Rattus norvegicus: one gene and its partners. The protein of the gene in region 3 purifies or fractionates together with the protein of the main gene of each other region. This does not show direct contact. Links are inferred from orthologs where the notes say so. Each region holds a gene or a part of one and is shown on either strand. Other genes may lie near its edges. The genes, in order: Srpk2, Nop56, Nop2, Ftsj3, Rpl11 and Nifk.

Evidence for each region.
Region 1: the proteins of Nop2 (region 3) and Srpk2 purify together in Homo sapiens (affinity purification with mass spectrometry; 3 studies listed by BioGRID and IntAct, with this or other methods). This does not show direct contact. The link is inferred for Rattus norvegicus from reciprocal best matches to the Homo sapiens genes NOP2 and SRPK2.
Region 2: the proteins of Nop2 (region 3) and Nop56 fractionate together in Homo sapiens (co-fractionation; 3 studies listed by BioGRID and IntAct, with this or other methods). This does not show direct contact. The link is inferred for Rattus norvegicus from reciprocal best matches to the Homo sapiens genes NOP2 and NOP56.
Region 4: the proteins of Nop2 (region 3) and Ftsj3 fractionate together in Homo sapiens (co-fractionation; 3 studies listed by BioGRID and IntAct, with this or other methods). This does not show direct contact. The link is inferred for Rattus norvegicus from reciprocal best matches to the Homo sapiens genes NOP2 and FTSJ3.
Region 5: the proteins of Nop2 (region 3) and Rpl11 fractionate together in Homo sapiens (co-fractionation; 3 studies listed by BioGRID and IntAct, with this or other methods). This does not show direct contact. The link is inferred for Rattus norvegicus from reciprocal best matches to the Homo sapiens genes NOP2 and RPL11.
Region 6: the proteins of Nop2 (region 3) and Nifk fractionate together in Homo sapiens (co-fractionation; 3 studies listed by BioGRID, with this or other methods). This does not show direct contact. The link is inferred for Rattus norvegicus from reciprocal best matches to the Homo sapiens genes NOP2 and NIFK.

Annotation. Positions count from the first base shown.
Region 1 is NC_086022.1:12,427,949-12,432,622, reverse strand, and holds the start of Srpk2 (SRSF protein kinase 2), read right to left. Parts: upstream 2,881-4,674; 5' UTR 2,713-2,880; coding exon of another isoform or gene 2,687-2,712; coding exon 2,649-2,686; exon of another isoform or gene 2,133-2,648; coding exon of another isoform or gene 2,071-2,132; intron 1-2,070. UniProt on the Homo sapiens protein: Serine/arginine-rich protein-specific kinase which specifically phosphorylates its substrates at serine residues located in regions rich in arginine/serine dipeptides, known as RS domains and is involved in the phosphorylation of SR splicing factors and the regulation of splicing.
Region 2 is NC_086021.1:137,928,487-137,933,160, forward strand, and holds the start of Nop56 (nucleolar protein 56), read left to right. Parts: upstream 1-1,692; 5' UTR 1,693-1,748; coding exon 1,749-1,751; intron 1,752-1,910; coding exon 1,911-2,000; intron 2,001-2,308; coding exon 2,309-2,423; intron 2,424-2,584; exon of another isoform or gene 2,585-2,653; intron 2,654-2,762; coding exon 2,763-2,924; intron 2,925-3,071; coding exon 3,072-3,270; intron 3,271-3,381; exon of another isoform or gene 3,382-3,513; intron 3,514-3,581; coding exon 3,582-3,769; intron 3,770-3,852; coding exon 3,853-4,004; intron 4,005-4,174; coding exon 4,175-4,275; intron 4,276-4,337; exon of another isoform or gene 4,338-4,423; intron 4,424-4,615; coding exon 4,616-4,674. UniProt on the Homo sapiens protein: Involved in the early to middle stages of 60S ribosomal subunit biogenesis. Required for the biogenesis of box C/D snoRNAs such U3, U8 and U14 snoRNAs. Part of the small subunit (SSU) processome, first precursor of the small eukaryotic ribosomal subunit.
Region 3 is NC_086022.1:159,617,475-159,621,986, reverse strand, and holds the start of Nop2 (probable 28S rRNA (cytosine(4447)-C(5))-methyltransferase), read right to left. Parts: upstream 3,022-4,512; 5' UTR 2,914-3,021; intron 2,704-2,913; 5' UTR 2,699-2,703; coding exon 2,593-2,698; intron 1,789-2,592; coding exon 1,743-1,788; intron 1,595-1,742; coding exon 1,506-1,594; intron 906-1,505; coding exon 727-905; intron 1-726. UniProt on the Homo sapiens protein: S-adenosyl-L-methionine-dependent methyltransferase that specifically methylates the C(5) position of cytosine 4447 in 28S rRNA. Required for efficient rRNA processing and 60S ribosomal subunit biogenesis.
Region 4 is NC_086028.1:91,684,063-91,688,596, forward strand, and holds the start of Ftsj3 (pre-rRNA 2'-O-ribose RNA methyltransferase FTSJ3), read right to left. Parts: upstream 3,118-4,534; 5' UTR 3,081-3,117; intron 2,997-3,080; 5' UTR 2,971-2,996; coding exon 2,904-2,970; intron 2,736-2,903; coding exon 2,630-2,735; intron 2,168-2,629; coding exon 2,121-2,167; intron 2,020-2,120; coding exon 1,940-2,019; intron 1,392-1,939; coding exon 1,292-1,391; intron 1,207-1,291; coding exon 1,012-1,206; intron 919-1,011; coding exon 803-918; intron 712-802; coding exon 607-711; intron 528-606; coding exon 427-527; intron 284-426; coding exon 203-283; intron 115-202; coding exon 1-114. Other genes in the region: Psmc5 (26S proteasome regulatory subunit 8), read left to right, coding at 3,506-3,529, 4,131-4,202.
Region 5 is NC_086023.1:153,557,968-153,562,530, reverse strand, and holds the start of Rpl11 (large ribosomal subunit protein uL5), read left to right. Parts: upstream 1-1,728; 5' UTR 1,729-2,070; coding exon of another isoform or gene 2,071-2,097; coding exon 2,098-2,221; intron 2,222-3,167; coding exon 3,168-3,274; intron 3,275-3,473; coding exon 3,474-3,605; intron 3,606-4,505; coding exon 4,506-4,563.
Region 6 is NC_086031.1:31,944,630-31,949,030, forward strand, and holds the start of Nifk (MKI67 FHA domain-interacting nucleolar phosphoprotein), read left to right. Parts: upstream 1-1,516; 5' UTR 1,517-1,548; coding exon 1,549-1,653; intron 1,654-3,212; coding exon of another isoform or gene 3,213-3,215; coding exon 3,216-3,350; intron 3,351-4,401.

The DNA of each region.
Region 1 (4,674 bases), about 150 Mb from region 3:
ACCTAGGAAAATCTCAACGATCTTAAGCTACTGTGAAAAAAACTGTAACCCATTTATTTTTCTCTTTTTTTTAAACCAAGTCATTTTTTAAGAGTTCAAATAAAGTATTTTAGAAGTATAATAACTGGCTAACACTAATTGAAAAATGTGATGAGTGCTATCATGACACTACAAGGTATTACATCCACATCCTGGATAAGACATCGGTATTAGATAATTTTTTTTAAAAAAAATCTTTATTTGTTATATACATTGTAGCTATCTTCAGACACACCAGAAAAGGGCATCAGATCTCATTACAGATGGTTGTAAGCCACCATGTGGTTGCTGGGATTTGAACTCAGGACCTTTGGAAGAGCAGTCGGTGCTCTTAACCACTGAGCCATCTCTCCAGCCCCCTTTTTTTTAATAGGCTTTCTTTTTTTTTTTTTTTGGAGCTGAGGACCGAACCCAGGGCCTTGGGCTTGCTAGGCAAGCACTCTACCACTGAGCTAAATCCCCAACCCCTAGATAATTTTTACACTTGAGATTATTCTTTTACGGGTTTTTTTTTAATTAGCAATTCTCAACCCATAAGTCACTAGCCCTTTTCACAGGGTCACCCAAGACCATGAGAAAACACAGATATTTACATTATACTTTGTAACAGTAGCAAGATTAATGTTATGCAACATTAAGTAGCAAAAATAATGTTATGGTTGGGGGTCTTGAGGAACTGTATTGAAGGGGGCAGCATTAGAGTTGAGAACCACTGCTTCAAATAAATTAAAAAATCAAACAATACAGCTTTTAATGAAATGGAGAGAAAAGGCACATTTTGTTTTAATATATTTAAATTAATTAAACATTTTATGCTTACAAAGTTTTTAATTGATGCATAAATCATACTCATCACCTCAGTGAGACTATCACACCTGCTTAATACAACTCAGGCACCTACTAAAACCAGCAAGGCAGGCTGCACAAAGTCACCGTCAACAACACTTGTCTCAAAACTTTGTAGTTATGACAACAGGTGCTCTCTTCTCTTTCAAATAACCACATAGCCTAAGTAAAATCATGGAAACACTGTAGAGCACGTTTTCATAGACTGAGTTTTAGTCAGAGAAAAAGTTAACTTGTTTTTAAGAGAGAGCGATCTTCTGTATTCCCCCATCAGTTTACCAATAAAAACTCACGCTACCCGGGAAGGATGCATAATTATGTGGTCATCTCATTAAGTACAGTGCTAGTAGCAAACTCTCCCTCTGTAGCTGATGCTTAGCCGGCTCTCAGCGCACTCCCTTGTCTACGTTCCCATCCACAGCAGCTTTCTGCAGGATACTCCCCAAGCTGAAGGCCCCTTTTGTAGCCCAGCAAACAGAATGAGTGAAATCAGGTGGCTAGCCACAAACCAGAAGTTACAAGGGTCAAGAAAAAAAGCACAAAACCTCTTAGTTACCTTTTAGTTTCAGTCTCTACAGAATGTAGTTACATCCTCACGTGTAACCAAAGTTGTAACAGAAGCTCTTCACCTAATAACACTAAGAAGTCGGAGTCACCTCTTTCCCTGCAGAGCTGGCCTCCTGAAACTAGCACACATTCTGCCTCAGATGATCAGCTAGTTTCTAGTTTGGTTTTAACAATATTTTTCCTGTATTGTTTCTTTACCACCAACTTAATTTTCCACGTTATTTTCCTAAATTTTCAATCTACGAACAACAATGCTGAAAAATTAGCCGTAGAAAAGATAAATCAATATGGCTTAAATACAGTTGTCAACATTAACTATAAATTGGTAAGATAGGGAAAAGGAAAAGGTAACCATCAACTGTCTGCCTGAGAACCTCAATCTCAAACACTCTGAATACATACTGTATACTCACAATTTCAATAAACACAAGTGAACACAGAATTTACTTATCAAAATACGGAACTTTAGTCTCATTTCTTACAGCAGATATTTTTATCTTAATTTTGCTTATGAGGCAAAACGGTAATTTTCATGAAACATCTCGTTACAGGTATAATCCTAAGAATGACAGATAAAATAACTGCTTTAAAAATACTTGTGAGTCATTTTGTCCTTACCTGCAGGCGTGAACCATCACTGCATGCAGGGACTCTTCCCTGGCAGACACTTGAAGAAACATCAGATCTCTTTTTCAGATGTGACTAATCTGTGGGTTTGCATTCCTAAGCTACGTACAAATGGCACTCCCTTTGTTCATTAAAAATATATATAGACTTATTACAGGGAAAAAAATCAACTGTTTAAGCTAGATATTTACAAATAACCTTGGGAATTCTATATACCAGCAACCTCAGAATACAAGAACAAAAATCTCATTACGTCCTTTAAAAAGCAAGATTTTTTTTTTTTTTGGTTAAATTATTTTTTAAGCTTTCAGCAGCTGCCACACTTGAGCCAGCGATCTGCTGTGTTATGGTGCGCATGCTGCAGCTGATTAGACTGACTGTTTTTCTAAAAAAATCAATTTCCCCTCGCAAAGCAGAACGGCTTGCCCAAATACACATCTTCAATCCAGCACAACGCCAGCATGCAGTACAACACGTTCCATAGCAAACTTGACAAGGGAAAGGTAAGTCCTGTTTGTTTCTTGGCAATGTTGCCCCATTAATTGTTCATGCAAGAGATGTAGCTGTACCTTTCTGAAGAGGACGACTTCTCAGAGTTAACTGACATCAGCAGCTCAATCTTCTGCTTGATTTCTGGAAAAATCAGAAAATATTCACAACCAAGATTGCCCGCCCTTGCTTACAAGCCTTATATCAAGAGATTTTTCTTCCCTAATCCCTTTTGTTCAGAATGAGGCCACAGGATTCACAGTACTTCTGTTCGGGCTGGGATTCAATGGTGCTGTAAAGGGACGGCGCTCCAGAGCACAGGCCTTGCTAAGCTATGCACATGACTGTTTATGAAAGCAGGAAGCACCACTTCCTTTAAGCAGAGGGGTGTCCTTTTTTTTTTAAGGTAGAACTACCCGGGTTTTATTAAAAGGTTTCAAATTGAACAAATTACAACACAAACATGAAATGCTAACAGCTAAACTCAATATACTAAATAATTTGAGAAGCCTAAATTACAATGTTTCAATCTGCAATGAACAGATATGCAACCCCTGGCTGCTTCTATTTGATTGGCCCTAAAAAATATGGCTCAGTGAATCATTTCTGTCACTTAAGAATGAAATATTAAGCCAAAACCTCAACTCAATGATTAAAATGTTATAATTTCCTGATTGTTTTTAATCAAATTTAACATCGGTCCCTAATGTTCTCAGAAAGACTTCTTTACACCTCACTTTCCCCTCCTCCTTCACAGAACACAGTGAACAGCAACACCCAGGTACCGTGCAGAGAGGATATTCTTGTCCTTTTAGGAAGGACTGGCAACGCCACCTACATCAGAAATTTAAGTGCAACTTCAATTTAATTAAAAGATGGTTGTTGGAACCAAGTTAGGTAGGAGAAGAACTTACAGGCCAGAGTGAAAAGAGCACAGCAAAGGCAAAAGACACGGTAAATATAGCGAGCTGCCTTAAACCACACCAGCAACTTAGTATCTCCACTGAGTAACCCCGGTGTTCTCACTTCGTGGGAAAGGCTCTTTTGTCTGTTCTTAAAAAGTATTTTCACTCTATTTTTTTAATTACAATATACATTTGTAATAAAAAGTCCACATACTAAAATTAAAACTGTTATCACTGGAAACCTATAAGATGTCAGAATTTCAAAGCAGACCTCAATAATGTCGGGGGTGGGAGGGTAAGCATGCACACATGCACGCATATTTCCTAGAAACAAAACAATGGTTTAAAATGCTGACTACAGCAATAGAGTTAAAATATGAAAAAAACGTAAGGAAAAAATAAAAGTAGGAAAGTTCTCTCCCAGTGTTAAGGGATTTTCCTAATTTAAGCATATATCCTCATCCCATAGACATAATAAAATTAAACTGCTAGAATAATAAAACTTACCTTGAGAATTCTGAGGTAAATTACAGGGCCCAGCGCAGGGGCTACAGGGAAACTGTTTTAGTAAAGGCTCCCCTCATTTCAAAAGAGAAACATCTCTGCATGGGACTTAGAAACACTTCACTTTCAAAAACCATGGGCTCTTCAGGAAACTGCCCATACTCTCTAAAGCCTCTATTTCCTCATCTATAAAATGGGGATAAGTATTTCTACTTGTGGAGAATTAATTAAATAATCCACGCAAAGCCCAGGCGAGTCAGGCATGGCATGTGGGGACCCTGGGAGCCTGTTCCCACCGGCTAACACAGCCCTTCTCCCCTTGATGCACACTTACTGAAGGACCCAACGAGGCACAGGCTGTCCGCCTTACTGCTGCTTCCACAATTTTAAGCCCACTTTCTTGCCCCGAGCATCATCAGTGTCGCCATGTGCTTTAATCAGCGTGCTACTGTAAGTGGAAGCTCACTCCACACCCCAAGCACGCTACGCTTTTTGACTGGATGTTTCAGAATGAGATTGTGCTTGAACCACCATTATTGCAAAGAGAGTCTCTTTAAGTTCTTACTTTACTATGTCTAGATAAAACCTGAGGTAAACACCATGTTAAGGCAGTGGAGCCGCACAGCCTGTCGCAGTGATGCAGGAAGGATGTCCATGTTCTCTCCAAACCATCACGTTTGTTTAGTTCCGGAAACAG
Region 2 (4,674 bases), on a different chromosome or scaffold from region 3:
TTCAATTCCCAGCAACCACATGGTGGCTCACAACCATCTGTAAAGAGATCCAGTGCCCTCTTCTGGTGTATCTGAAGACAGCTACAGTGTACTTATATATAATAAATGAATAAATCTTTAAAAAAAAAAAGAGACAAGTAGTGACTTAGTTTTGAGATCATGAACCAAAATGCAGTAATAACCATATCTGTAAACAATACTGAGATTATTATGATTTAATCAGTAATGCTTAATATAGATTTATAAGTGCAATAAAATGAACTATGTGCTTCCAATTTTTTGCTGTTGAAACACTTTACTCAGAGGGCTGGGGAAAACCTGGAGAAATCCTGTCTGCTGTCCTGCATGGGGCAGACCTTGGAGATCTCCCAATCTCTCTGTGCTTCAATATTTAAAATGTTTATGTGTATGAGCATTTTGCCTACATGTATGTGTGTGTACCACATATATGGCTGGTACCCGTGAAGGCCAAAAGAAAGCAACAGATCCCCAGGAACTGGAGTTACAGGTAGATGTGAGATGCTATGTAGGTGCTGAGAAGTGGACCTCGGACCTCTGGAAGAGTCATCAGTACTCTTGACCACTGAGCCATCTCTCTACCCGACGAATGAATTCAGTAAATTCACTGAGTTGAGAAAACAAATCAGATACAACTTATAAATGTGCCTTATGGTTATAAGAATTTTCAAAATCCCTTTAGGAGTTGCAGTAGAGTTCAGCTGGTGGAGGCCCTGCCTTGAATTCGCTAACAGATACACAGGACTGGTAGAGGTTCAAAGAGCATACACGTAGTCAGCTACAGAGCCGCCAGAAGGTGGGGGGGAGGGGTAAGGAAGGGAGGAAAGGGAAGAGGGAAAAAGGAAGAGTGAGGAGGTGAGGAAGGATGAAGGAAAGGAAGAGGGGAATGGAAAGAAAATGAGGAGGGAAGGGAGGTAGAGGAGAATCCCCTTAGCATTATTATTTTCTTTAAGGCACAGACTAAGAGGCAATCAAGTTTGGGACTTAAAATGCTAAAACTAAAGTTATGTGGGTTTTTTTTCCTCTTTAAAGCAAGAGTAATTTTAAATTAGATACCTTGGTGTGCCAACAAATGACATTGTTAAACAAGAAAGCAGCTTCTTGGAAGGATTCAGGGCCCACTCAGCCATGAGCACCACGTGGTGCCGAGCAGAGCTCGGTTCTATGAAGCAGGGCAAGGAAGAGAACTAGCAAGAGGTAAACCGCCATTATCTACGCCACTGCCCGCACCAACACTTTTTTGAACAACAAAATTTAAGAGGAAGACGCAGGCAGCAAGGAGCCGCCATTTCTGCAGCGTCGGGGACCGGGTCCCAGGCGGAAGGCGAGGACCAGGACTGTCTGGGCAGCGGGAAACCGACAAAGTTCATCAGGGAGCCTTTCGTTCCCTCACCGAGTTCCGCCTCCCGGCACATGGGTAAAAAAGCACGAAAAACGGAGAAGAATGATCTCCAGGCTCTGCGGCCTGCCGGTAAGACCGGCGCCATTCATTCCCGACACAGTCTCAGCTCGCTCAGGCTCAGAGGCCCAGATGGGCAGGCCCGCTCGCGCCCGCGTAATCCAACCCGCCCGACGGACGATACCACACCCGCAAATCCCTCCGAAGACCTAGTAATGGTTCCGTCCCCAGCCTCTGATTGGTCCAACAGGAGAAGGCGTGGCCTCCGCAGTCTGGTTCCGCGCGCCAGAGCGCGCTACCCGCATTGCGAGCTGGGCACGGAGCAGGCGCCATGGTGAGGAGTGGTTGTGGGTTATTTGCGTTGTGAAGGCCTCAGTGTGCGTCTGGGTTTGCATTCAGGTTTGGGCTCGGAGTTTGGGCCAGGGCCTGCTCTAGCAGCGGCCCAGCGGACTCGGAAGTTTGACTAATGGCCGCGCGCCGGTTCCCTTTTCAGGTTCTGCTGCACGTGCTCTTCGAGCATGCGGTCGGCTACGCGCTGTTAGCGCTGAAGGAAGTAGAGGAGATCAGCTTGCTGTTGCCGCAGGTGAGTGGAATCGGTGGGCTCGTGGTGCTGCAATGCAGCCCCTAAGGCCGCCAAACCCCAGCATGCACCGCGTGTTCCCACGTGGCCGACCGCACCGAACGGGGAGGGGGGCAGAGCTGTAGAACGAGGGGACTCTAAGGCTAATCTATATAATAGGAGAGGTTGTAGATCAACATCTCATACTCTCATTTCTTAAGAATTAGAGTCCGGATGCGGGCCTAGGCACCAATTGCTACAACAGCTGGTGTTCCTGCTTTACTGCGCGGTAGAGGCCAAATTCAAAGAAAGCCCATTCATCCTCTCCACAGGTGGAGGAGTGTGTGCTTAACCTTGGCAAATTCCACAATGTCGTTCGTCTGGTGGCCTTTTGCCCCTTTTCTTCATCCCAGGTTGCCTTGGAAAATGCTAATGCTGTGTCTGAAGGTGAGCTCCCCCCCCCCCCCAGGGATGCGTGTTTCTGAATGGCTGATGATTTTCTTCTAAGCTTGATAGATTCTAGGCATTATTTGAGACCTACAAGATGGCAGTTTAAAACAGTTAAATGCTTCACAATTGTGCTCCCGGACCTGTGGTTGAGTCAGGCTTTGCAATGATGACTTGAAAAATCTGTCAATCCCCTGAGTGATCGATGATGACTCCATGTTTCTGAGCAATGCCTGAAGGGATGGGTGTTCCTGTATGGTCGGAGTGGAGGCACAGTCCTTCCTCTGTTACAGTTGGGACATTCTTCGTCGCGTTAAGAGCTGTGTTCTTTGTTCCAAGGTGTTGTTCATGAGGACCTCCGCCTGCTCCTGGAGACATACCTGCCATCTAAAAAGAAGAAAGTACTTCTGGGGGTCGGAGACCCCAAGATCGGTGCTGCTATACAGGAAGAGTTGGGGTACAACTGCCAGACTGGTGGTGTGATAGCTGAGATCCTTCGAGGTAAGAGTCCTGTTCAGTGTGTTGCCTCTACCATGTGGATGAAGTACCACAGAGGCCAGGAGAGGGGCTGCTGGTTTCTAGTAAGCAGCTATGAGTGGTTATGTGGGTTCTAAAAGGTCCTTAACCATAGTCCTGCCTTCTTTTTAGGGGTTCGTCTGCATTTCCATAACCTGGTGAAGGGTCTGACAGATCTTTCTGCTTGTAAAGCCCAGCTAGGGCTGGGACACAGCTATTCTCGTGCCAAAGTTAAGTTTAATGTGAACCGGGTGGACAACATGATCATTCAGTCTATAAGCCTTCTGGACCAACTGGATAAAGATATCAATACCTTCTCCATGCGTGTCAGGTAAGGTGCAGAAGCCACCAAACACTGGTTTTCTTCGGCCTAGTTTAGCTAATGCAAACTTAAGGTCAAGCAAGGCTGATAATTTGTGGGTAGAATCATGGACCAAAGCCAGGCCTCCTTGTGCTTACCACAGGCTGTGTTCCTACACTGACTGTATAGAAAGAGGAGGCAGAATAAACTACCCTGTGTACACCTCAGCCTAGGCCACCATGCCTGGTCTGTATTGTGAATGGGTAGACAGTGATTTGAGGGAGCCTGGGACCTGAGATCAGGTTTGACAGCTGGGTCAAGGTGTGATTGTCCCTCTGCAGGGAGTGGTATGGGTACCACTTTCCAGAGCTGGTGAAGATTATCAACGACAATGCTACATACTGTCGCCTGGCTCAGTTCATCGGGAACCGCAGGGAGCTAAATGAAGAAAAGTTAGAGAAGCTGGAAGAAATTACAATGGATGGAGCCAAGGCTAAGGCCATTCTGGATGCCTCTCGGTCCTCCATGGGTCAGTGCGGAGCGAGGCAGCCCGTATAAGGTACGAGGCTCCTTGAGTATCTGGTCCCCCTGTTCACACTAGGTGTTTCCTAGGCATGGACATATCTGCTATCGACTTGATAAACATCGAGAGCTTCTCCAGTCGTGTGGTGTCTTTGTCAGAGTATCGCCAGAGCCTACACAATTACCTTCGCTCCAAGATGAGCCAAGTAGCCCCCAGCCTGTCAGCCTTAATTGGGGAAGCGGTGCGTCATGGGGAACACAAAAGTGGGGGAGTAAAACATAGCATTCTGTACCGCTATACTTGTGGCTAGCATGCTGTCCCTAGTTGTTGCATGGTGGGGAGGAGGAGAGGGGAAAGAGTGGTAGGTCAGGTTTCTGTCCACTCACCTGCCCTCCTTGGGTCTCTCTCCAGGTAGGTGCACGTCTCATTGCCCATGCTGGCAGCCTCACCAACCTGGCCAAGTACCCAGCATCCACAGTGCAGATCCTTGGGGCTGAAAAGGCCCTGTTCAGGTACCAGTGAGGGCGCCTGCCCATGTCAGGTGCTGCTTCTGGTGTCCACTGCTTTGTTTGGGGATTACAGTGATGGCTGACCAGGACTACCTGACCTATAGAGGCCTCTACTATGGGAGTGATGGCCAGTCCTAGTGTCTGAGTGATTCCCAGGGCCCAGCAAAAAGGGACCAAGTTTCCAGGTCAGCAAATTGAATGCCTTCCCTCTCTGTCTCTGGGAGCTAGGTTGGCGCACGTTGAGGTAGAAAGTTCAGCCAAGTCTGGTGGGAAATTGTAAGAGGGGAACTTGACCGTTTAGGTCAAGTCTTCTGACTAAACTGTTCACTGAATATTCTCACAGAGCCCTGAAGACAAGGGGTAACACACCAAAATACGGACTCATTTTTCATTCCACTTTCA
Region 3 (4,512 bases):
TAGGTCCTCTGCAGTGCTGAGCCACTGATCCATCTCTCCACCCTCCAAATTAGGCAGCACACCCATACACATAAAATAAACTGAAGAAAAAAAAAAAAAAAAGATGGCCTGGAATTCTGTTCCCGAGGGCTCCACCCCTCTTCCTGTCTCTGTAGGCGCTGCAGCACTGACATACATGTAGGCAGACAATAGCACACACATACATCTGAAAAAGCCGACAGTGCTTTTCAAAGTTGGGAGGGCTGAGATGGATCATCAGAACCCTTTACTCCACTCAGACTGTCCTTGTCTCTCAAGGAGCCTACAGTTTGGAAAGCTAAAAAGCAAGTTAGACATGGTAGCACACACCCTGGTGCCATCACTTGAGAGGCCTAGGCAGGAGGAGTACACATTCTAGGCCAGTCTGGGGACTAAAAGGCTAAGATTCAGTCAGGCATGGTAACAAACACCTGTAATCCCAACACTCAGGAGGCTAAAGTATGACAGTTGTAAATTAAGAGGCCTGTGGGCTACACAGTTGAGAGTTTGGGCCAACCAGGGCTACACAGTGATACGTTGTCTCAAAAGAACAAACAAGCTGGGTGTGGTGGCATATACCCTTAGTCCCAGCACTCAGGAGGCAGAGGCAAGAGGAGCTCTGAGTTCAAGGACAGCCAGGGTTACACAGTAGGACAATAGCTCAAATAAACAGAAAGATCTACTTGAGAATACCCAGAAGTGACTCACCTTTTCCTCCTCATCCTCCGAGTCCGCTCCATAGTCGTCCACCATATCTTCACTACTGTCTTCAGAGCCCCAAAGTTCCCCCTGGGTCACCACATCTTCTTCCTCAGAGTCTTCCTCCTCATCCCCATCACTGTTTTGAATTGGTGCTGGACGCTTCTTACCTCGAACCTGGACTGCTCCTAAAAACGGTAGGGTGTGCCAGACCCTGAGTGGACAGCAAACACACCTGCCTCACACCCCCCGAGCCTCAACTTTCTAGACCACATCTGACAGCTCATAGGGACCCATCTCCATCCCCGAGTGCATTCAGCATTCCACTCATGAGCACGCAGACACATGCAGACACAAACGAGTAACAGTAAAGACAGGGCTGGAGAGAAGACCCAGGCTAGGAGCCGTCATCCTGGCACTCGCATGGTACGGATTCTACTTCCAGGGGACCTGGTGCCTTCTTTTGACTTCCACTGGAACCAGGCAGCCACATGGCACACATTCATACACGCAGGCAAGACACTCATTCATGCACATAAAATAAATGAGGCAGAGACAGTTGGATCTCTGTGAGTTAAGGTCAGCCTGGTCTACAAAGTAACTTCAAGGATACCCAGGGCTACACAGAGAAACCTGTCTCTTAACCACTAAACTACCTCAGCATCTCAAACAAACAAGAAGAGGTCTAAAAAAGAGATCTTTGCTATTCCTTCCATTGTAGAAACAATTAGCCCTTTCCAAGAGCCAGTCGATTCTTCACAGAGCAGCCAACTCCCATGTTCACTAACCTTTGGGTAACTCTCCAGGCAATGTTTTGATCCCAGGAGACTTATTTGGCTTAGGGACTTCAACAGACCCTGACCTCCTCTTGGCCGCCCTGAAAGAAGACAGAAAGTGAAGACAAGGGAACACAAGGGTGGGTTCTGCCACCTCCCACCACAAGGAAACAAGACAATGCACGACCAGCCCTCTTCACCCATGGGTCAAGCAACTCCAATCCTCATTACACCTGGGCATCCACTCACCTCTTCCGAGCACGACTGGACAGCCTCTTGAAATTCTCATCACCAGCTGTTTTATTGTTAAAAAGGAGCAGATTAGGAAGTGATAGGAAACAAACTGGGGCAGGAATGTGATCAGGAAGAGATTACCACATTAACTAAAGTGTGGCAGTGATAGCATTAGGTATGTGTAAGCCCCCTAGTACACCCACAGCACCGGGAAAGCCATAAGGTTATAGACTCTGGGAGTCACTCTGTAACACTGAACTAGGAGTTACATCGAGATGTTAAGGAAAGGCCAATATACAACCTGCGCTGAGTATGAGGAAAGCCCATCCTATCCCCATCACTTCCAGAAAATTAAAAAAGACCAAAAGATGTAGAAGAGATGAAGCAGTCATCAGATTGGTCAGCAACCAAATTCAAGCAGGGTCATCTGATAACAATGTAACCTCAAACCCCCCTTTCTGCCCTCCTCTTAGTCTCAGCTTATTCATTTATCAACTAAATAAAGTAGAACTTAACTTTGTTATTTTTTAAGAGAAATTACAGAAACAAATCCTTCTTCACTTAGTATGTGTAAGACACCTGACCTAACAGAGCCTCTCTCCCACGACTCTAAAATTCGATGAAGTGAGACCATGTGTCCACAGAGTTAAGGATCTCTTTCATGAGCCTGTGGCTTGCCAATGTCTATATATTGCACCTTCCATTCAAATAGAACACGAACTCCCAATGCTACCTTCTTTAACACGGGCGATTTATTTCCTAACAACTCACATCTATGCAACAGGTAAAAGCGGACACGCAAACGAGAAGTTATAACACAAAATGGAGCAAAGGCTGGGCGGGATCAGGGAGCTACGACTCTCACCTGCAGGCAAAAATCTGATCAGTTCGGTCTCTGCACCCTTCTGCTTTCGAGCCTTTCGGCCGGGCCCACGCTTCTCCTTCTTCGTAGGATCCAACTTGCGCCCCATGATAACTAGAGCAAAGAAAAATGAGGGAAGGCGACGTTGGGGGATGCTGAAAAGGGAACGCAGGCTTAGGGATATTATCTGGGACGAAGCACCGCCTGGCCCAGGACCAGTGCTCGGAACGCCGATGTCCTCCAGGCTCTCCCACAGGACCTCGTCACCACGCCCCTCTCGAGAAGCTCAGGTCGAAACCCTGCTCCTCAATCCTGCGGACGCACCTGAAGGCTCGGCTTGCCTAGGACTGGTTCCGGCAGACCCAGTGCCTCCAGCCAAGGCCCGCTCCACGTGCACTTGGGGAAGAGTTCAGAGGCAGCACACCGCGAAAGTGAACTACGCGCAAAGCTTCCGGACGACGCCCCGCCTCTTCCTGCCGCAGCACCGGAACGGACCTGATCCAGGAACACGCACCTTCCGCGGTTCACAGAGGTAAACGCCCCGCTACGCGCTCGTGCTTTCTCTGCCCTCAGTTCGGGAGTTGGCTCCTGCCCGCGGGTTCCTGCTTGTTACTCCTAAGGCCGCACGCTCCCTCCACCTAGAGCTTGCCCCCTGGCACCCTAATTGCCTTAGACCTCAAGATCGCGGGATCCCACGCCTCCGCCCTCCTGTTCCCAAAGATTAGAGCTGCTTTCCTTAGAGGTAATCCTCCCTCCAGCCCTTTTCACTTAGCAAAACGTACTCGTCCTTCCTTCAAAGCAGTATTAGAGTTAAAAACCTTACAAGCTCGAGAGATGGTTTGGCGGATAAACGCGCTTGCCAAGCCTGACGAACTGAGTTTTGAATACAGAATCCACACATATGGTGGGTGTCGGGAACAAACTCCTACAAGCTGCTCTTTGACCTCCATGTGCACAGTAGTAAACGTAATACTATATACAAACTATATAAGTGAGTAGTAGTTCACTCTAATCCTAGCCCTCTGGGAGTAAAGGCAGGTGGGATCACGAGTTTTGAAGGCAGCCTGGAATTCCTGGACCCAGAACTACTCAAAAAACCCTGTCCCAAAAAACCAGTAACAATAAACTAAGGGAAGGTGAATCACTGAGAAAGATGAGGGTATGGTAACACATCCTTAATTCCCACACTTGGGAGGCAGGGACAGGCTGTATTTAGACCCTGGTCTCAAAAAATAAAATGAAATATTTATGTATGTATATGTATGTCTGTGTGTGTAGAAAATGTTTCCATGATAGATTGCTTGCCCAATGTCTTAACAACTCTGCCAGGCAAGTGACTACTTCATGCAGGAGGGCTCTGGAGACAATTTGCAAGGGAGATCAGAGCCTATGAAGGGATGGCCCAGAAGCCTTTTTCTCCACAGACTGTCATCCCGGCAGAAGCACAGGCACACAGGCTGCAGTCTTCAGGGATTAAACCAGTTCCTGGGGTATCTGGAACCCACACTCACCCACATAGAACCAGATCACTAAAATACAAGGAAACTTTTATTTTCAGTTCTCATCAAGAAATTTGCTGTGGTTTTTTATGCTTTTGGTTCTTTTTCTTTTTTTTTTTTTTCCAACTTTATTTTAGCTGCTCAGTGGCTGGAGCCGCTGGGTTCCTGGTATTAAAAAGGTGCCAACAGAGGTAGCTGTGTCTCACCCAGGGGCCCGGCCCACTCTGAATACCCCCCAAAAGGAGAAAACACAAAGTAAACCAACAAAATAAAACCAAAAAGAGGAAGAAATTCAGATCATTTTCTTCAAGCCTGGCAGAACCCACAACAGTTTGTAACAGGCGCACGGTGGGGAGAAGCCAGGGTCCAGAAGGCAGCCAGCCCGCCAGCTCCTTGCTCGGCGCTGGGCTAGCTACTGCTGCGT
Region 4 (4,534 bases), on a different chromosome or scaffold from region 3:
TCTGCCAGAGTCCGGTTAAGCTGCTCTTCCTCCTCTCTCTCCTCTTCCTCCTCTGAAGCCTGCTTTGTCTCAGCTGCTGACTCTTCTTCATCACCTTCTTCTTCCGAGCTGAGGCTGACAAACCAGTTCAAAGATTCGCTTATTTTTCCCAGACAGTGGTCCGATACCCAGCCATCCCTAGCCCTGGTCACCTCCTCCTTACCTGATGTCCAGTGCCTTGGCTTGCTCTTTCAGCTTCTTGGCCACATATCGCCGAAGCTTTGTTCTCCAATTCAGTAGAGACCTGCCCAAGAAATACTGTTATCTTACTTTCTCCATCTTTGTCTCTTCTTAAAGTCCACACGCCAGAGTTCAGGCTTCAGCCATAAACTTAACACAAGCCTGGTCCCCAGAGTCCAACATAGTGTTGCCCTTATTCCTGTGTACCTAAGTTCCTTGCGCCCCAGCACTTTGATGTCCTGACAGCATGCTCTGATATCTTCAGTGGTAGCTGGGTGCTGTGCCAACTCTTTGTCGTCTATTGAGATCTGTTTGTGAGGGAAAGAATGGGACGTTGTTCTGGCCTTGTTTCTGGGCCTCCTATAGACTCTCAATCTAGGAACTCACTTCGCTGGCCTTGGAGAGGAAGTCAACAGGATTGGCAGCTCGCAAGAAGTCAGTGACTGAGGTTCGGTGATACAGAGTGAGGTCACCTTCAGCATAGCCTTCAGCCTTAGGAAGGGAAATAAAAGATGATTACTAGACAGTCGATTCTAAGATATCAAGTTCTCCCAGTTTCTCAAAATAATAACAATAAAAACACCTTTGGCTTCTTCTTTGTCACCAACTCAGTGACAGTTTTAGCCTGAACTTCAACTTCCTTAAAGGCAAACTTGGGATCGAAGAATTTAGCATCAACCTTGTCCGGAGCCAGGAATCCTAAAATGAGAAGAGAGAGTAAAAGTTCTGCTAGATTAAAGGTATGCTTTCATAATTAGAAGGCTGTGTCAAGAGGAAGGGGTTGTGTCTTACCTTGGCAGACTACAAAGATTTCTGCAGATTCGTGACGAGAGGCCTGGGGCTTGGTGGCCTGGACACGGTGGAACAGCTGCTGGAAGATCCACAGCAGAGGCTGATAGTCTCGGGAGCGGAAGACTTTCGTGATGAAACAACCACCACGGGCCAAAAAGTCACAGGCCAAACGCAGAGCCATCAGAGTTAAGTGAGCTGTAGGACAGAAACAGCCAGTGAACCCCTGAAGCCTTAGGGCACGCCACCTCCACCCTCCCCTCCAAGCCCACGTTCCCTGTACCTTGTGAGTAAGCATCATGGACCCAACTAGCCCCCACATTGGGAGCCCCATCATTGAGCACAACATCAACTTTCCAGGTCTTCAGCTCCTTCCTCAGGGCCTAATGAAAGTAAAGGCTTTGTAGCAATGGAAACACAATGATTGCTAAGAACAGAATTCTGATTCAGTCATCCGTCTAGTCAGAGTGAGTGCCCACCATTGGCATCACAGTGCCAGGTACTAGGCATACAACAACAACAACAACACAACCTATCTTTGCCAAGCTTAGAATTGGTTCACTGGAAAGAACTTTACTGAACAAAGAGTCTTCCACCCGTTCACAGCACTATCCATGCCAGGCTTGGTGGCACGTGGAACCCAGTATTCAAGAGGCAGACAGACTGGAAGATCAAGGCAAAACTAGGCCATGGACCCAGCTCCACATAAGTGTGGACTAACTACATAGTTAGAAACTATCCCAAGTACCCAGCAAGGCTCTATCTCAAGGGAAAAAGGGGAAATAAAAAACAGGTAAAGATGGAAAGGTGACCAGGATTGTCACGGTCTCTTTAGCCATGCACTTGAAACCATGGTAAATTGGGAAATGTCTCACTTTCAGGAGGCAAGGGCGCCAGCACATAAGAGGGAATGAAGGAGAGATCTTATTACCTGCCTACAGCGTTCTGTTGTAATATCTTCCTGGAGAGTCACCACATTGGGGAGAGGCTTGATTGGAACCAGGTCCACTCCTTTAAGATGTTAAGTCGGTGTATTACAGGGTGGAGGGAGATGTAGGACAAATTTAATACCTCTCCCACCCCTCCCCCTCAAATACCCAAGAGTCACTCACCTACAATAAGACTGGATACAGGCATAAACTTGGCAGCCACCTGCAGCCTGTGGAAAAGACAGGTTTAAATACCTTTCATCCCTTGGCAATGTGATTTCCCAGCCTCTTAAGGGGCACTTGTTAAGTGTCTTGGCCAAATTGTCTATGCACACATTCAAGAAGCAAGCTGCTGGGCGTAGCAACACAGGGCTGCATTACCAGCTATCAAGGCCAAACGTTCAAGGCCAGCCTGGGCAATTTCTGAGAGTCCCTGTCTCAATGAAAAGAAAGCAGATTGGAGATATAACTCGGTGGTGGAGCGACTGCCTAGCATGAGTAAGTCCTTAGGTTCAGTCCCACGAGAGGGGAAAAAAGAATGACACTGACTTCCAAAATTTAGGAGAGACACATGCTATGGAATATTTAATCTGAATTGTATAATCGGATTTCCATCCTCCCCCAAAGCAACTCAAAGCCAGCCAGTGCAAGGGACGTATCATCACAAGCAGTCCCTGCCAACCAAATATTACCATCCTCCAGGTGCAGCACACAGGTCCAGCAAGGCCCGGGCTTTCTGAAGGAACTGAAAGCGGCGATTGAGCTGGATCAGTTTGAAGGCAGAACGCGAACGATAACCTAGACCGTAGGGAGTGGATGTATAAAACAATAACGTCTACGGATGCCTTTTCTAAGAGGACTTCCACAGCCTCACAACCCCATCACCCTCCCCCTAAGGAAAAGGAACACAATATTAGAAAAAGCGTAAAGGCTGATATGTTATTCACGCAGCGCAAACCCACTCACCGGTCTCCTTGGCCAAGTGATAGAACTTGTCCCGCCGGCTCTTGCCTACTTTGCCTTTCTTGCCCATGGCGGGATGGGGTAGTATCACTCACTCTGGGGAGAAAGAAAAAGTTGAGAATATCTTTCAGAGCGCTGGATTTTTGCTTCGGTTCCTCGGGTGGCGAAGCAATCACTTACCGAGACGTTAGATAGCCCTTAACTCCGCAGGTTTTCAACACTTAGGGAAGTAGCACATGTGGGTAGTGATCGTACTTCCGCTTCCGCTCGCGCTCCCTGTGTTCCTAGCGTCTTGATTTACGCCATTTTGAGTGTGGCCAAAAATTTTGTCAGCGTGTCTTGCAAGTTAAAAGTAGAGGCTAGGAAGTAGAGTACAATAACTACTCCCTAGACTCTAGGAAGCATCCGCCATAAGTTATATATCTCTTTACAAACCTACTAACCGCCAGTAGAGCCTGTAATAAAGCCACTGTTATTGTCTCACCACACACCCCGCCCATTGACCCGGAACTGTTCTCGGTCGTGACCCAGGTCGCACGCTTTCGGCTCCGCGCCTGCGCAATAGGGTGACTTGGATGCCGGCGGTCCCTGCCGAAGGAGGGAAGATGGCGCTTGATGGGCCAGAGCAGGTAAGGATTCTGCCGCGGCGTCAGGGCGGCATCCAAGCCGAGTGTGGAGTGCACAAAATCTGAACTGAGGGGTGGCCACTAGCAAAAGGGTCGAGTGGATCAGGGGTGGGTGGACCACGTCAGACTTGACCCTGCCTGGAACTGGATCTGCTGTGTCAGCGCCACCCGCGGTAAGCAGGACAGGGCTGGGTAAAAACTGAATGAAGAGCTAGGCAAGCCGGAATGGCCTGGGTGGGACCTGGACTTGGTCCTTCTGTTCTGCCTTTGTCTGTAGTAGTTACACCTTGGGTTTGTATAGCTCTTGCCACAGAGCAAAGCGCTCTGTAAGTATATGGCCCCTTGAGCCTCCTAAAAGTCTTCGAAGGTAGGCGGTAATTGCATCCTTTTAGTGGATTCAAAAGTGAAGGATTAGAACCAATAACTAAGCCTTTGCAGTTCAAACACACAGACCTCACCTATGGAGATAACCAGTTTCTGAGGAAAAGGGAATGATACTTTCCTGGCCTTGTTTCTTAAGCTATATGGTAAAGTGCCCTGAAAATACTTTGGCTTTATCCCTTAGTAGTTTACGTAACTGTTTAACAATTACACTTGTCTTCAGATGGAACTGGAAGAGGGGAAGGCAGGCAGTGGACTCCGTCAATATTATCTGTCCAAGATTGAAGAACTCCAGGTAAGTCCAGACACCAGAGGGAGCTTGAGAGCTAGCTGGTAGGTGCAGATTTCTCAACGTCCTTTTTCCACTGGGAGTGCAGCAAAGTGTTCTTTTCCAGTGTCGTTCTTGTAGCTCTTCAGTTGTTAATTTATTATGCATATGTGTATATGTGTGCTTTCGTAAGCTTATATGCATCATATGTATGCAGGTGCCTGCGCAGGGCAGAAGAGGGCAGTGGATCCCCTGAAACTTGAGTTACAGATAGTTATCTTTCCCAGGCACTTAGAGTGACAACTAAACCCAGGCCCTCTGCAAAAGCAGTAAACCCTGTTAACTGGTGAGCCGCCTCT
Region 5 (4,563 bases), on a different chromosome or scaffold from region 3:
CTCCTCTCCCTCCTCTCCATCCTCTCCATCCTCTTCCTCCTCTTCCTCTTCTTCCTTCTCCTCCTCCTCCTCCTTCTTCTTCCTCTCTCTCTCTCTCTCTCTCTCTCTCTCTCTCTCTCTCTCTCTCTCTCTCTCTCTCTCCCCTGCATCTCTGCTGTCCTCTCTTTTTAGCTAACCTGTTTAATACCTTTTTTGGAAGGTGAGCGTTGCTTGGATGTTGTATTCTAGGCTTGTATTAATCATAAAAGTAACAACTTACACACTTCACTACTTCACTGAATTTTCACAGTAACCCGTGACACTGAAGTACCTATTTTTTTTTTTTTTTCCCGGAGCTGGGGACCGAACTCAGGGCCTTGCGCATGCTAGCAAGCGCTCTACCACTGAGCTAAATCCCCAACCCCCTGAAGTACCTATTTTACACAAGGGGAAAGAAAACAGACTGAAATCATTTAAATTAGTAACTAGTAAGTTGAATTAAAACCACACCTGCCTGTATTCACAGCTCAGGACTCTATTTTCAAATTTTATTTAGCATTTATTAGTTTATCTATATGAAAAATTTTCCCCCCGCACATGTGTTCTTGCAAGTGTGTGTCTGGCGTCCTCGGGAGGAAGGCAAGGGCATCAGACTGTAACAGCTGATTTAAGCCACTACGCTGATTAGTATAACTTCTATGTTAACATTGTTACAAAATAAATGCCCTAGAATCTGTACAGTTTATCCTTTTACTTATGTAAACGAGTGTTCTATCTGCATGTACACCTGCATACTAGAAGAGGGCATCAGTTTAGTTGATTGTGAGCCACCATGAGGTTGCTGGGATTTGAACTCAGGACCTGTGGAAGAGCTGTCAATGCTCTTAACTACTGCACCATCTCTCCAGCCTCAGCTTATTTTGAAAATTTTGCTTATTTTTTTTTATTTATATGGGTGTTTTGCCTGCCTGCCTGCATAACCTGGTGCCTGTAGATGCCAGAAGAGGGATCTGTCTCCCTGGAACTGGAGTTACAGCCAGTTTTTTTTTTTTCTCCTTCGGAGCTGGGGATCGAACCTAGATGCCTTGCGCTTGCTAGGCAAGCGCTCTACCACTGAGCTAAATCCCCAACCCCAGCCAGTTTTGAAATACAGCGTACATGCTGGGAACTTTGCAAACCAAGGTCCACTTAAAGTACGGCTATGACTCTGTTCTTGAAGTGATGGACTCAAGAACATACCAGTCTACCTGGTTTTCAAAAGACCTGGTCTTTAGCCCGAGATGACTGCAGTTCCGAGGACGATCCACTAGAGGAGGCAGCGCCAAGACAACCGTGCCTCTCTTTCCCACTCTCACCTCGTTTGTCAGCCTAGGAGAAAAATCCCGCCTCCTGACCCATAAGGCCACGGGGCCGGAAGTCCCACTCTCTCTTCCTGTTCTCCACCATGGCGGTGAGTAGAGCAAGAGTTGCTTTTGCCTCTCTTTCATCCATCTCCATCCGCGGCCGGCGGAGCCCACGAGGGCTGTTTCGCCGGTGGCTGGAGGAGGACGGAGCCCGCGATGCTGGTGGCATTAAGACCGGCAGGGCTGTGCGGGCGCAGGGCTCGCCCGTCACGTCGCCGCCCATCGTAGGAATGGGGCTCAGGTCAGCGGCCCCGAGGGCCCAGACGCGGGGTCTGGGGGCTTCCGGGAGCGCGAGCGGAATGTGCCGAGCTCTCTGTCGGGTCCCAGCCCAGGGGACTTGAAGCTTGTTTGGTGCTGGGGAGCATCTGCGGGTCCCTACTCAGGACTGGTGCTCGCTTGCAGACAGCTTGGGAAGGAGGAGGGCAGGTCGCGTAGGCCGATGTTTCCTGTAGTTTGTCATTTTAAGGTTACATTGTATTCTCTCCTGTCTGATTGGCTTTCTATAAGCTCTTGTGTCTATTACCCAGAAACATCGACCGCCTTAGCATTCAGGCTTACTCAGTGCTCCTCCGCCCCAAACACTGAGACCTTTTTAGTCCTTAGTCCATAGGATTCGGGACCGTAGAGATCAGACTGGAGAAGACATTGGCTTCTCGACTTTGACGGCTGCGTTTACTCTTTTCTGCAGCAAGATCAGGGTGAAAAGGAGAACCCCATGCGGGAACTTCGTATCCGCAAGCTCTGCCTCAATATCTGCGTGGGGGAGAGTGGAGACAGACTGACCCGAGCAGCCAAGGTGTTGGAGCAGCTCACAGGCCAGACCCCTGTGTTTTCCAAAGGTGAGTGGTGATGGGCTAGCCAGAGAGGCGTGGATGGAAGGCCTCAGTCCATCTAGCCGGAACAGGAGTGCGAATAGGGAGCTAGAGTAGACGTGTAGTATTCCGCCTGGTTGACAGGTAAGAACAGGGTTAATACATTACACTGCTGGGGTGAGAGACTATCCGTTCTTATTCTTAATATTCATGTTCGTATCTGAGTACTCTGTTTGCTTGACAGAAGAGGGCGTGAGATGTTGTTATAGATGGTTGTGAACCACCATGTGGGTGCTGCTGGGATTTGAACTCAGGACCTCTTTAAACCACTGAGCCACCTCTCCAGCCCCCTATCAGTGCTTCTTAACTTTAGGCTCTACCTCAGCTTCCTTAAAATGAATTCTGATTCCCTTGTGTGGCCACATGGGAGGTGTTAATGTGCTTGAAACATGGGGTCTGTTGGGAGTGTGGTTATAGGTGGTCTGTTGTTGGGATTGGATACCCTTTCTTAGTACCACCGGTGAGCCTGGGCTAGTTAGCCTCAGGACATCTGGACAGTCGGCCTTTTGAAAATACTAGCTTTTACCAATGTCAACCTCCCAGCTTGTCCCTTCCACACCCCATTCTGGATTTTGAATGCAGGTTCCTGTATGATAGAGCATAATGTTAAGCTAGGCCTGGTAGCCTATGATTGTAACTCCTGTACCCGGACTGAAACAGGAAGATTGCTCCCAGGTCAAGGCCAGCCTGGGCTACATTTGACATTCTCAAGGAGTATTAACGGTGCTAACCTTTGTCTCTGACTTGCCTAATGTCATGAACTCTGGGGATTGTAATGTTCTTAGCTGAAGTGCGGCTGGGGACATTAGAGCTGGAAAGCTCTGTTCTGTGTTGGTGGGTGAGGTTGATTAACACGTTAGATGCCGGGCAGTGGGAGTAAAATGTTACCTACCTCTCTGTTCCCTTCTTGCAGCTAGATACACCGTCAGGTCCTTTGGCATCCGGAGAAATGAGAAAATCGCTGTTCACTGCACTGTCCGTGGAGCCAAGGCAGAGGAGATTCTGGAGAAAGGCCTGAAGGTGAGGTGGGCTGGCCTGGAAGTGGGGAACATTTGATGGATGATGAGAGATGATTTGGTTTAAGGGAAGGGTTGCCTGTTCTCCTGGCTGGGATGCACAGAGTTTTGGTTTTGCTCCGGACCTTCTGGGTGTTGGTCTGAGCTCATACTATGCTCTTTAAACACAAGGAATAACCTGGTTGCTCTTTATGTCTCCTCAGGTGCGAGAGTACGAATTACGGAAGAATAACTTCTCAGATACCGGCAACTTTGGCTTTGGGATTCAGGAACACATTGACCTAGGCATCAAATATGACCCAAGCATTGGCATCTATGGCCTGGATTTCTATGTGGTATGTGGAATGTGGACTTCTTGATCCCAAGCTGCCTGTGGGGAGAGGGCCTGCTGCTCCTCTGTCTGTTGTCCGCACATGCTGTCTTGCTGTTGGGATGTAGTGCTGGGTTGAAGTCTGTGTCTTGTCTGCCTGTGTGTCCCCCTTGAGAGAAGGGCCTTGTTCTAGCAAGTGTACAGGTTCAACCACACAGGGTTGACAGGTCTCTGCTGTGCAAAGCTCTCTGGGAGAAACCTGTGCTGCCTTTGTCCCTGGCATTGGCTACCCTGTCTCCACTCATCCCTAGTCTCTGGCACACGTGAGTTCTGTGGGGAAGACATGGAAACAGACTGTGCTCAAGTGGGGTTTTCATGTGGAAATGACTCTGTTACCACAGTGCTTCTGTGAGAGCAAAGAGCCAGACGTAAAAGTGAGACCTGAGGGGGAGGTCGGTTAGGGCGGCAGAGCTCTGGGCAGCTTCTGAACCAAGGGGGTGAGTGTGCCTTTGTGCCTTTGGGTGCTTTACATTTCTTCACATTACACATGTTGAAGGTTTTTGTTGTGAGGCAGGGTCTTTGGTTTACAGCCCAGGCTGGCCTTGAACTCCCTGCATGTTAGTATTACATGTGTGTCTGGTGCCTAGAGGCCAGAACAGGTCAAGGGAATCAGATCCCTCTTGAGACTGACGTTACAAGGCTGGAGACCAGTTGGGGAAGGAGCCTGCAGGGCATGTGTGTTCAGAGCTTGGTGTGTTGTCCGGGTAGCTAACGACACTTCCGTCCAACAGAGGTACTGGTCTTGCTTCAGAATCTGTTAAGTTTCTGGATGACTTGAAGATCGGTCTCTAATGTGTGAGTCTTGTCTGTCCACTGGTGACCCGGCCCTAGGCTGGCTAGATGACTGTTGGTTATTCTGGCACAGGTGCTGGGTAGGCCAGGTTTCAGCATCGCAGACAAGAAGCGCAGAACAGGCTGCATTG
Region 6 (4,401 bases), on a different chromosome or scaffold from region 3:
GACAAGTAAAGGCACTTACCACCAGCCCCGAGTCCCCAGAACCGATACCGGGGAAGGAAAGAACTAACTATTGCAAGTCATCTTTTGACCTAGACACATGTGATACAGGGCAAAGGTGCACACACCCATACTCATTGACAGGCGTACACACAAAATCAATCAATCAATTAATCTATAAGTAAATAAACAAATGGAGAAGACAGAAAGACAGTTTTTAAATATTTATTTATTCCATGTATATGAGTACACTGTAGCTGTCTTCAGATACACCAGAAGAGGGCGTCAGATCACACTACAGATGGTTGTGAGCCACCATGTAGTTGCTGGGAATTGAACTGAGGACCTCTGAAAGAGCAGCCAGTGCTCTTAACCACTGAGCCATTGCTACATCCCAAGACAATTATTTCAACATAAGAAAGTCTTCAAACTTCTTTTTTTGTGTGTGTGTTTTCTCAAAATTCCTATTGTGTTATCTAAAGAAACCTACTAGGGAGCTGAAGAGATGGCTCTGTGGTTAAGAGCCAAAGGACCCTGGCTCACAGTCCTTAAGTCCATGTTCTGATACCCTCTTCTGTCCTCGGCACACACATTACACATATAGGGTACACATACAGACAGGCAAAACACTTATCACATAAAAATAAAATAAATAGGGACTGAACAAGTAGTTCACAGTTAAAAATATTTTCTACTATTCCAGAGGACTTGAGTTCAGTTCCCAGTACACTGGGCATCTCACAACAGCCTGTAATTCCAGGTTCAGGAGATCCCACACCATTATTCTCTATGGTCACCTGAATTCCTGAACACATAAAGACACATGTATAATATCAAAAATACAAATATATGTTGCACTATGTTGTGGAGATTTCCATGGTGAGGACTGGTGGAATTTCAAGTCCTGAACCTGAGGGAACTCAGGGACTGGTGGAACTTTTTTCTTGTATGCCAGAGTCTGGTCACTCTCCCACTTCTGGGCGGTTAGAAATCGTTAGGGATGTTAGGGAAAGAGGGGGACATGTGGAGATTTGGGGAGGCTGGCCATTGAAGCTCCTCAGGCAGGGGCCTGACCACTTTCCTGCTTGAGTGTTTACAAAGTTTACAAAAGGAGTCCATGGCAGGAAGACTTTCCCTATTGCTTGTAGGCCTGACTAGCCAACAGACATGGATAATGTTTGGGACTTGTAAATTTGTTTTGAGTCCATGGAGCCCAGGCCGTGGTCGAACTATGCATATGAGAACCGCTTTGAACTCCTGATCCTCCTGCCTCCACCTCCCAAATTCTAGGATTACAGGCGTGGGGCTCCAGTCATGGTTTATGCAGAGCTGGGCAAGCACTTCACCAACATTAGCCTCCGAATAATTTTTAATCCGTCTTAGAAAGTCTTTTAGATTGTGGTCAATAGGTGGCGCTCGAGGTCGTCCAATTCCAAACACCAGGGCTTGCTCTTCTTGCTACACTCCCGCCTCTGCTTCCGCTTCCGAGTAGTGAAAAGAACGTCACTTCCGGAGGTTCCGCGTGGATTAACTTGTTCGTGCTTCTCCAGTATGGCCGAGTATTCAGGCCCTGCGAAGCCGACTCTGGCGTTGAACCCGCGGGAGGACTCGCAGTTTGAGAAGGATCTGACGCAAATACAACGGCGCGCGAAAAAGGTGAGCGGCGGGGCTCTCTGGCCGCGCTGACTCGGGAGCCCACCTCTCACGGGCTCTGGAGACTGAGGCAGGCAGGGAATCGGTGTGAGGTTTGACCCTTTAGGCCCTCAGGGCTCACGTGAAAAAGGAGGTGTACCACGTGTGGGGAGCATGGCACCTCCAATTCCCAAAATATGTTAAAGCTGTCACATTTCCGCTTTGGCCCGCAAAATGGGGGTTCAGAATGAACCACAGCATTTGGAAGGTATGTATGTCCCCTTACGTTGTAGTGCTTAGTAGACGGAACAGACAAATCCAGGTCCTTGGACGAGCGGGGAAGCAGGAGGATCGAGAGTCAGAAAACAGCTCGGGCTCAGTATTCAGACCAGAGCTTCGCCAAAGAAAATAGGGATTACAGCCTGCCAAGCTCTGTTCCCAGACTGCCCCGAAAGGAAGTTTATATCCCCTTTGGTTTTCAGCATGAGGTGCACTGGAGAGAAAGGAAGATTTTCTTTCTTGTTTTGCTGTTGTCCTGGCGGGGGTGTCTTTTGTGCGGGTTGTTTTTGTTACAGTGTCTTTGTAGAGTTTTTGTAGCACAAAATTGCATCACATTTGCCGTGCAGTCTAGTCCTTGAACCATATATCCACTGGGATTACAGGTGTAGGTCACTATAGGTCACCCAGTACCCTACCTGATGGGAAACAAGTTCTTGTTCTCTAAGGTGGTGACAGAAGTATAGTCTTCACTGTGAAGGTTAATCGGAAATGATTCGATGTAATAAGCTGCCATCTGAGTTCAGAGTTGAAGGTCTTGGATTCGGAGTGACAATGACAGACTTTCACTTGATTGTCCATTAAGGAACACATGTGCCGACTGCTTTGTAGGGACAGGTGGGTGTGCATGCACACCACGGCACACATAAGTCTGTCTCTGCAGAGTCTGTGGCTCTGTGTGATTGAACTCAAGCCTCAGGTTTGCACAGCGGTGCTTAAGAAAAGAGATACAGACACCTAGTTTTTCAGTTTCTGCTGTGATAGAGAAATGTTCCCGGACCAAGAGGAATGAAGGGTGTTGAAAATTTTGTTGCAGGCCAGGTAAGGTTACATTTACCTTCAGTCCAGTGCTGGAGAGACAGAGGCAGGCAAAGCTCTACCTATCCTCTGAAAGGACTTTAGAAAGCTGGGGGGTGGTGGCACACACCTTTACTCCAGCACTCAGGAGGCAGAAGCAGGTGGGTCTGTGTGAGTTTGAGTCTGGCCTGGTCTACAAAGCTAACTCCAGGACAACTAGGGCTACACAAAGAAACCCTGTCTCAAAAAAGGGAAAAAAGACTTTAGAATTAAATTTTTCTGAAGTTAAGGAATGGTAACATACCTTTGTTGAAAAATAAAGTCCTTTGCAGAGAGCATAGTAATGCCTTTACTCTTAGTATTCATGAATTAGAGGCCAGCCTGGTCTACATAGTGAGTTTCAGGCCAGCCAAGGCTCCATAATGAGACCCAGGTCAGAAAAAAATGTGTATATACAATGTTTTGGTGCAGTGTGAATTTTTTAAAATGTTTATCTGTTTTGTCCTCAGCAGAAGAAGGAAGAAAAACTTAACTCTGGAGTAGTTTATCTGGGGCACCTACCTTCAACGCTCTCTGAAAGCCACATCTATGACTACTGTGCCCAGTTTGGCGATATTAGAAGATTCAGATTGTCCAGAAGTAAGCGGGTAAGATTCTGTACCTGAATTCAACTATGTTTATTTTGCTTGTCAATTGTACGGCCTCCTTTGTATTCATAGGCAAAACTTTGTTACCTACAAAGTTCCTACTTGGGAACTCTTCACAAGCGAAGCAGCATGGTGGCTCATACCGTTCGTCCCGGCACTTGGGAGACAGATAGGTAGACCACTGAGTTTGAAGCCAGTCACAGCTACATAATGTGGATTTCTATCTCAATAAAGAGAGAAAAATAATGAGGCTGTGGAGATAGCCCAGTTTGTAACTGTCCATCTACAGAACCCAGGTCAAAAGCCAGATATGGTCACATACATGTGTAATCCCAGTGCTAGGAAAGTGGGAATGGGGTTCCTGGGGCGCACTGACTAGCCAGCTCAGCCCAGCTCCAGCCCAGTGACAGGGTGACTGAGACCTGGGGAAATGGCCCAATGGTAAGAGCACTCGCGCTCTAAACAGGAAGTAGAACACACACACACGCACCTTTTCCTCAAGCACCAACTGAAAGGCCAAGTGAGCCCAGTACTGGGAGCTGGAGCCTGGATTGTAGAACTTGCTCCCAGCCAGTTTAGCCAAAACAGAAGTGGCAGGTCAGTTTTTTGGTTTTGGTTTTTGGTGGGTTTTTTTTTGTTTTGTTTTTTGTGAATTTGCTTTTACTGGGGCTTAAATCATGCGGTGGGATTTGTCTGTGGTACCACACCAGCTTCTTAAGGCCTGTTGCCCACTGGTTCCTCCCTGGAAGAGAATTTCCAACTCTTGGGGTTTCTGCTGGTTGCCTTTCCTAGTTCTCTGAACAATCCTTTCCCTTGGGAGACTTGTGCTGCCCCACCTGTCTCTACCTCCCTCCTTGGAAACAAGGTGTTGTTTTGTCTGAGTCTTCCATTTCCTGAGGAGGCTCCTGAGCTTTGGCTCTTGGTGGGTTGAGTTTCGTGGATCCCTTCTGGAATGTACCTGCTGTCTCCTGCAGGTGCCCTGGCTAATACAGCCAGCAGCTTTTTTTCCTTTGTCAAGTGTTTGTCCAGCTTCCTGATAATCTTAGCAGCC